2 linked regions of the Arabidopsis thaliana genome follow. The protein of the gene in region 1 interacts with the protein of each later gene in a pairwise test. Each region holds a gene or a part of one and is shown on either strand. Other genes may lie near its edges.

Region 1 (5,622 bases):
TCTTTTCTCTTTTATTTTTCTATCTCTCTTCATTTTTCATTTCTTAATGTTTTCCTCCACTATGAATTGCCCTGCAAGTTAAGTTTAGAATTATTGAGCTCAAAAGCCTTCATGTTTTTCTTGTGTGCCCACCACTTCTCGATCCACACTTTTTCTATGGCATATATACAAAATACATACAATTGATTAAGTACTTATTTATTTTTAAAAAAGCATATCAAACACCTTTCTACACATAGTGAATATGAATGAATCTTAACTTTTCTTCAACGAAAAAAAAAAAAAAATTCTTCAACGAAAATGCTCATATAATAATACCAATATGTGAATCACACTACATTATACTTGTGTCTAGTGTAGTCTATAAATTGAAAAAATAAAATAAGAAGAGTACTACAAGTATAGACTAGTTGACCTAAATTTAGCAAAAATCTGATGGAAGAGTAAATTTTGAGACGTAGGTGATCATTTTGAATTTGAGAAGATACGATAAATCTAATAACCACAATCGATCGTAAAATTAATTTATGATTTTGGTCTGGTGAAATAAATCATTTTTAAAATTAATTAAAGAAATCAGCTTTGATAATTAAGTTCACTCATAAATAAGGTAGAAAAATCCATTAAAGAGTGTTTCAAATCCATCCATTGATAGAGGAAGAATGGCATATTGTTTGTACACCAACCCCAAGAAAATCCCGAGTTTGCCCTCCTCCTCCCGCATTCCCAATATCAACTCTTCTACGCTTCCAAGGGTAATTCTGTAATTCACCCATCCCCGAAACGACCGTAACGCCGTTTCTAGGGTTCCCGATCTCGTGAAGACCGTTATTATTATTACTCATTAACTCGACACTGTTCGATCCAAACGAAGCAAAGAACCTGTCGCTGCCACCATCTTCTACAATCTGATTACTCTTCGATGCAAAACTCTGAAGATACGCTGATTGGTCGGTAGTAATCGTCGTCGTTGGTGACGTAGAAGAAGTCGCTCCCATCTGAGCAGCTTTTTGGAGTAACGCAGTCGCCGACATATTTGCAACAGCCACAGAAGCAGCGTTTGCGTCTTGGGTAATTTGGTCAACGCTGCTAAAAAGAGAAGGCACGGAAAGAGAAGTTGCCCCGTTAGCGTTTTCCTTACTCTGGACGATATTAATATTATTGTCATGAGTAATGAGTGAATCGCTCGTCGTTATTAACTCGCCGTGATTATTCGCGTTTCCGAAAACCCAATTGTAATCCTCTTGCGGTGAATGCGGCTGCGGCGCCATACGGTCCTCGATGGTCACTTGCTGATGATGATTAATATTTCCTCCCGACCATAAAGAGAGCGTAGACGCTGGTTTCATGACGTCTTGATGATCGAAGTTGTTGGTTGTGATTGGGAATTGGTGGTGGTGATGATGTTGCGGTTGCGGTGGTCCGAACGGAAACGACGGTGGTTGTGGTAGTGATGGTGATGGGATAAGTGTCCCCATGAGATAATGATAGTTTAGATTACTACCAGCGGTTGCGGCAAAGCTTTTGAGATGCGAGGCTGCGTTTAGCCTAGCGGTTTCTTCTGCTAAAGCGTCACAGAACGCTCTATGTGTAATGAAGCTGTCTCTCCTGTTGACCAAATTATACACACCAATAAGATCAATATCGTCTATACACACTCGCTAATTTATGCTTGTGTTTAATATGTATGTATATAGTAATATAGATAGCAATTAAGGAAAAAAAGATAAATAAAGTTGTATATCTTACTTTAACCAAAATATGTCAATCCAAGAAACTGTCTTATTCAAGAAATCAAGCAGCACGTATGCTCAGAGAATGACCAATATGGCAATATCTATACAAAAGTAACTCCAAATTATTTTGTTTTAGACCCTACATGAGCTACTACTTCCAACAAAAAACATGTATCTTATTTACTTACAAATTGTTTCACAAAAAAAAAAAAAAAAATCTTATTTACTTACAAACAACGTGGTAAAACGAAATTTGTTTGTGTGGTCCAGTGGTACAGTAGTGTTAGTTGAGGTAACAGATTCGTTTTTTTTTTGTTTTTCATCATAGTATTCACCCGGTAAAATATAAGCTCTAGCTAGGTTTAGTATGAGTTTTAAGATATGTATATAAGTATATATATATTCTTCCTATATTCTAATATATTCAAACATGATTAACTTTACTGGTTAAGAAGTTAAAATCATATTTGAATCTATATATAATGCAATTAAACATGATATGCGCTTACAGCTAGGTGATCAAAATATTTGTTACGCCACTAAAAATATATGATACCGTGATGAGGAAATGTAAAGATCATCTATTAGTACGTACGTGTGTAGATATACACTAAGTACCTGGAGAAAATTGTACCACAGTCGCATCTATATTCTCTAGTCCCACAAGTCTTGGAATGAGCCTTCCAGTCAGATTGGACTGCATATCTCTTGGCGCATTTCTCACACTTCCACTTTTTCTCGCCATGTTTCCGACAAAAATGTTTCTTAATGCCGGTAAGATCACCAAGTGCCCTCGTCGGATGGTGGTGGACGCAACTCTTTTCTGGACATACATACACTCGTTTCCTTACTTCTTTGCTCGTCCTCTGCTTTAGCTTCCATGGGAGGTTGTGTCCTCGACGGTGAAGCTGTAGATTCTGGTCTCTTTGAAACCCTTTTCCACATATCTCGCAGAGGAAACGATTTGTGGCCATAAGTGTCTTTGGAGATAGAGCTATGACCTCAGCTTCTGGATCTATAGAGAACGAAATATAACAATCAAATTCTGGATACATATTTGATCATGTGAAAGATCTAAACAGTAGAAAGCATGCATGTTTGTAGATCAAGATCGAAAAAAAAAAGAACATGACTTTTCAGCAAACAGAAAAAAAAATGTTGATTAGGGTTGAATTATTTTGTGATCTCTATTAAACTTAATTAATTGTTACCAGGATTTCCAGGGAGGTTTCTCTTCTTCTTGACAAGAGGAGGATTGAGGGATTCATGTTGATCATGATGATGATGATCAACATGATCAGTTGTTGATGAGCTTTGGACATATCCTCCACTACTTGAAATTGTCTGATCTTCAGTTGTCATGTCTTCTTCTTGGACAAAAGTTTTGTTGGAAGAGATTGAAAAGGTAATTAATTAAGTTTTAAATAAGAGATGGAGGATGAGCAAAGGTAATGAAGAGAAAATAAATAGAAATACTTAGAATCTGATGTAGTTATGAATGAGAGGCAAACACAAAAGATAAGTTATATTGGGTGATCACTTTATATATACACCCTACACACTTAAGCCCCATATGTGTACTAAAAAATAATATTCCTCTTTCTTTCAAACAAAAAAATATAAGCACCTTGATCTGTAAGAACTGTCGCAGCTATTGTCATAAATTATTAAACTTTCATATATTTTTCCCATTTTATTTATATTTCGCAGTTAAAAGTTAATGGCGGTGGAAATTAACTATATTTATCTGGAAATATTTGATTATTTGGTTTTTCAGTGGCAGTGCGTCATGACACACACAAAAGTTTCTATGTCTGCCTTTTTCTATTTGGAATGATGATCTCATTATTTCTTTTCTCCGTTCTTTTTTTCATCATCCTCAGGTAAAATTAACTTCTTTAATTGTTCTTCTCCTTATAGTTTCTCTTAATGTTATTTTTAGTAGAAAGTCGTATATAAAGCACAGTCATGGTGTATATAATTTGAGATTTTAATTTGACCGTAAATTGAGGCGGTCAAAGAAGTAAACAGATCCAACGGCGCAGGTCACATCTCTCGTTTATTGTTGAGAACAAAGCCTGCAATGCACGTGTACCCATGCACGTGCTCGTGAGGTAAAATCCAACAACATACGACAACGAAATTAAAAACCTAAATATGCAAAAGAGAATAATCGTCCGGTCGACAGTGAAAACGAAAACCATGCGAACTCTTCCCGTCAAGTACCCCACTTCAAATTTTCGTTTTGATATTCGATTTTCCTTCAAAAAATTGTTAATTTTCCTTTGACAAAAACAAAAAAATTGCTAATTTCGATATTAATAATTGTGAAAAAATTCATGTTTGTGGAATTGAGTATAAGAGAAGTTAGTAGATACGTACGAGTATCTTGTTCATGCTTTTTCTTACAAAGATCTTTTTGCAATGCTCCCTATTCGTCTTTTTCTTTAGCAAACTTTTTCTCGCCCTACAAATGAAAGTATTTTCTAACGTATTTTTTTAAAAAAAAATAGAATCTTAACTTATTTTTAAAAAAGATCAGAACTCGAAATCCCATTAAAAAAAAAAAGATTGAACCAAAAAAGTAATTCTAACCTACTATATATGTGCAAGCTAGTAAATTTTCTCTCGGAGATCATAACTATTATAAACTCATACCAAAATTTTAATTGAAAATTTATTTTGTAGTTTATTATCCTAAGACTGAGCATATGTATCGGAGTTGTATAAACTAGTCTATTATTATTATCGTGTTATAATTTGGATAAAATCCTATATATAAAATAATATTGTAGATGAAAAAAAACGGTAAACAATTCGACCATATCAAAATCTCGATCATATCGATTTTCAAAGAAAAGTAAACTAAATGTGCTTTTTTATTTACCCCTAGCTGAAAGTAAGATAATTATGGTTAGTTAATTAATCGAAAGTACGAAGAGACAGAGAACTGACAAAATGCAGGTGAATTTTTGGAAGGAAGAGAAGTCGTCAGCTTGTGGGCTGACTTAATTACCAATTCTTTAGGTAATTTACACTTTAATCATAATGTAATCATGTTTTAAGATTCCTATAAAATAATAACATTAGTTTAGTGTTTTAGTTTTGGATTTTTCTTCTTGAACTTTGGCGGCACAAGAATATTCCCTTATTTTTCGAGACGTTGTTATAGTATATTATTGTTCCCTTTATATAATCAAGATTTATATACAGATGGGCATTTACACAAATGGGAAACTGGGATTTTTTTTTGTTACTGTAAAGTATAAAGAGATGCGTTCATATGAGTGTATCCAAAAACAAAAATATGTCAATTTTTTTGTTATGTAGAGCTCCTACGTACAAATGAATTTACACGATAATTATCTATTTGAATTTGGTCTATCCCGCTCATATTTAAATAAAGTTCGAATAGTAAATCCTATGTTTCAAGTTTCTAAAGAAATGCTGATTTGAATCTGTACAATATAATTGTAAATTGAGTATAGTTCAAAAAAAATTTGTGAACAATGATGATAGTGGAGATATAACGCATCAACACAAATAAAAAAGTTCAAATTTAGTCAAGAATAATTCTTTGTCTACATTTACATATGTTTCCATGGTCGTCGTTTATATATTTAAACATAGTTCATGAGTTTAAATACATATGAATTATTTTTAATTTAGCTGGCTATATCAATTTCAACATCATATATAAAACTATTGGAGCATTTTTTTTTCTTGCCGGACCTAAACTACTTACTCGGTTATTTTCTACATTTCCTTTATTGTAAACTCAAAGAGAATAACATTGATAAGACAGATTTAGATCCAGAGGGTACATTACAGATATACCACAGGCTTTTGGTTCATAAAATGCGCAATATACTATATATATATATTT
Region 2 (3,855 bases), on another chromosome or scaffold:
AACCATGGGGCCGGAAATTTTCACTTTGTATTATTTTGATGAAGCCCAATAGACTTTACGGAAAGACCTTAGGTTTCAAGTAGGTTTTTAAGTTTTATGAAACAGAGAAACATATACGTGTTCGTGAAGGAGAAGACGTGAAGGTAACTTGGACTATAAAGTGTATAGTGTTAGCGAAAAGGTGAAGCAGAATAAATAAAGTGTTATGCGTTATCAAGTCTACCTAATATAACTAGCTAGGGATTTCTACTCTTGTTTTCATAATCGATCTACGGACATTTCTCGGAACGTGGTCAAGATTCATGAGTCTTCTGTTTTTTATGTCTCTGTTCAATTTGGTTTAGAGATTAGTATGCTTATTTGTTTATTTCATATATGGTTATGAGAGGAGAGGCTAATGGCATATACTCTGATGTTTGTGATGGCTGCTAATATCGTTGAGGAGTTATTCACGTTGTTTCATGCGCAAAAATCAACAGAAAAAATTCTGATTATGAGCCAACTCTGTGAACCCTTATAGTGCGCCCAGAGGTTTGCGAGGCAAAATCCCGATGAACCAGAAGGAATTTTAGATCTCTATCAACAATAACTATGATGGAGCTCGTTTAAATTCATCACAGCGACAACATCATTAGGCTGCCCAACGTCTATGTCTCCTGGAGGTGATGGTACTTGATCTCTCAACCAATTTTCTTGAAAATATCATGCCTTGTGAGCGCTTTCATATTGCGCCTAAAATACCCAATACGCAATGAACCTACTTCCAAAGGCATAGAAAAAAAACTGATAATGATAATGAGATTTGTCACTATACTTATCCTATCCCTACATAGGAGCCGTTTGATTGTTTAGTCCATGTTTTCATTTTGTTTAGTCTAATGCTATATAACTTTTCTTTATCAGTCTATTGTTATATGACTTATATATATCTCAAGAGATAAGGCCAATAAATCTTCTTCTTAATTATATCTGAAGACTCAAAACATATTTTGAGTTTAATAAAATAAATAACGTCCAAATGCTACATACAAACGGACCAAATTCATGGAGGTATAAATTTAAATTATTTTTTGTTCCAAAGTGTATGCAGTGATTTATTGATGAATGCGATAGAGCGGCGAAAGAGAATAATCGTCACCTAGAAGACAAATTGATCGGCCGTACATATATACATAAATACAAACCTGCCACTTCACATGTCACCCACCTTTAAGCACCCCCTTCACATACATACTTTCTATAACAAAAATATCAGCTTCTAGTTCATATTTATGTTACAATAACTCGAGTGAATCATACTAAAAAAATGTAATGCTTTCTCTAAATAGGAGATAAAATGCACCCTCCGACCTAACTAAAGATTCCTTATTTTAGCTATTTAAGACATATTGCACATGTATAGAGATACATAAACACATATGCAATATGCACATCTTCTATACATTGAAAAAAGCTGATCTTGCAAATATTTGTCTTACACAACACAAGCGACCAAAGCGATGCGTTTCCCAATGATAAGGTTACGACATACTTACACGACTCTCTCTATTGTCTCGTCTCTTTCTTTCCTCATCCCTCTCCTTTGTCTCCTTTCACTCTATTTTTCACTTTTCAGAATACTTTTACGTAAAAATCATGGACATGTCATTGTCTCCACCCTACTATACTCTTTTTTTGTTCTTTTTGTTTCCTCTTGTGTCACAAAAATAACAAGATTAAACGTACATTTCTCTCTAAAACCAGACTCAAATGACCAAAACCCGGATTCTCAACCCGACCCGATTCCCTTCTCCCAAACCCTTACGTGGCTGCGGCGACGCTAACTTCATGGAACAGCTCCTCCTTCACTGCGCCACCGCCATAGACTCCAACGACGCTGCATTAACTCACCAAATCCTCTGGGTCCTCAACAACATCGCTCCACCAGACGGTGACTCCACCCAACGTCTTACATCCGCATTCCTCCGCGCGTTGCTCTCACGCGCCGTCTCCAAAACCCCTACACTATCATCCACCATTAGCTTCCTACCTCAGGCCGATGAACTCCATCGTTTCTCAGTCGTGGAGTTAGCCGCTTTCGTAGACCTCACTCCGTGGCACCGGTTCGGATTCATTGCAGCCAACGCCGCGATCTTAACCGCCGTTGAAGGTTACTCAACGGTTCACATCGTTGACTTAAGTTTGACTCATTGTATGCAAATCCCTACTCTTATAGACGCCATGGCAAGCCGACTCAACAAACCTCCTCCGCTTCTTAAACTCACCGTCGTCTCTTCCTCCGACCACTTCCCACCATTCATCAACATCTCCTACGAAGAACTCGGATCTAAACTAGTCAACTTCGCCACCACACGAAACATTACAATGGAGTTCACAATCGTACCTTCTACTTACTCCGATGGCTTCTCCTCCCTCTTACAACAGTTACGGATTTATCCTTCTTCATTCAACGAAGCTCTCGTCGTTAACTGTCACATGATGCTCCGTTACATCCCTGAAGAACCCCTAACTTCATCATCATCATCGCTCCGAACAGTTTTCTTGAAACAACTCCGATCTTTGAATCCAAGAATCGTAACCCTAATCGAAGAAGACGTAGATCTCACATCGGAGAACTTGGTTAACCGGTTAAAATCGGCGTTTAACTACTTCTGGATTCCGTTCGATACGACGGACACGTTTATGAGTGAGCAGAGACGGTGGTACGAGGCGGAGATAAGTTGGAAGATAGAAAACGTGGTGGCGAAGGAAGGTGCGGAGAGAGTGGAGAGGACGGAGACGAAGAGACGGTGGATAGAGAGAATGAGAGAGGCTGAGTTCGGTGGAGTTAGGGTTAAAGAAGATGCGGTGGCGGATGTGAAGGCGATGCTGGAGGAGCACGCTGTCGGGTGGGGAATGAAGAAGGAAGACGACGACGAGAGTCTCGTGCTGACGTGGAAAGGTCATAGTGTTGTGTTTGCTACCGTTTGGGTTCCCATTTAAATCAGGTTGATTTAATTTAATTAGCGTTTTAATTGGATACCTAATATAGTAGAATAGCATTGCTTTAATTTCTGATCTAATTACAATTTAATAATATTTTTTATTAACTTTTTTTTTTGTTCTAATCTAGTGTCAATTGTTTTGTACTAGTTCAAAACATTCTAACGTTGAAAAATAATCGTTATTATGACTAAACATATTTTACATCTTCATAAGCACTTTTAGTTTACATAGATATTTTTCCGTGAATAGGCTTAGTGATAACAGTGAAAACTTATTATAATAGGAAAAATTGAATAGTATATAGTTATTTAAATTTGTAGCGAGAATAAACATGTTGGAGATACAAAGTAGAGAGGATCAGATACAATTGCCTTCTTAAAATGAAGACATAAACAAAACAAATGAAAAACCAATAATATCTTCTCATCGTCAAAATGAACATTCAAACATTAATAAAACGAAAGGAAAATAGGAGATAAGACAACTTATATTTTCCCATTACCAGCTCTAGTTAAACGCACCACAATCACGACGGATGTTTCCATTGCTGCTATTCTTAACTCCAACACGGCCAAGTTTGGTCATGGCTATCACAAAAGCGCGGTTAAAGGCCGTAGAGTTTGAGGCCCAAGCATTAACGGTGGGCCTAGAGCGACCATCCGTGAAGAGAACTTGATCGGAGGTGAAGAGACCTTTGCCTTGTTGAAGATTCTTGAAGTAAGTGTTGTCAAACGTCTTGGGCGTGACTGGGTCCATGTTGATTGCAATTCTTGGGTCCACATTCTTAGGACAAGCCTTTTGAAGCTCAATAGCGTAAGCCTTGTTTAAAGTTGGGTCCACGGAGTTGATGCCGTTGAATTTGTGGATTCT

The links.
Region 2: the proteins of MGP (region 1) and AT3G49950 interact in binary tests that used the Arabidopsis thaliana proteins (3 or more experiments, as listed by UniProt).

Annotation. Positions count from the first base shown.
Region 1 is NC_003070.9:966,961-972,582, forward strand, and holds MGP (C2H2 and C2HC zinc fingers superfamily protein), read right to left. Parts: upstream 3,375-5,622; 5' UTR 3,099-3,374; coding exon 2,948-3,098; intron 2,752-2,947; coding exon 2,355-2,751; intron 1,609-2,354; coding exon 636-1,608; 3' UTR 510-635; downstream 1-509. UniProt on the Arabidopsis thaliana protein: Transcription factor that regulates tissue boundaries and asymmetric cell division. Contributes to the sequestration of 'SHORT-ROOT' to the nucleus. Interacts with the SCR and MGP promoters.
Region 2 is NC_003074.8:18,520,821-18,524,675, forward strand, and holds AT3G49950 (GRAS family transcription factor), read left to right. Parts: upstream 1-1,645; 5' UTR 1,646-1,749; coding exon 1,750-2,982; 3' UTR 2,983-3,114; downstream 3,115-3,855. Other genes in the region: AT3G49960 (Peroxidase superfamily protein), read right to left, coding at 3,493-3,855. UniProt on the Arabidopsis thaliana protein: Probable transcription factor involved in plant development.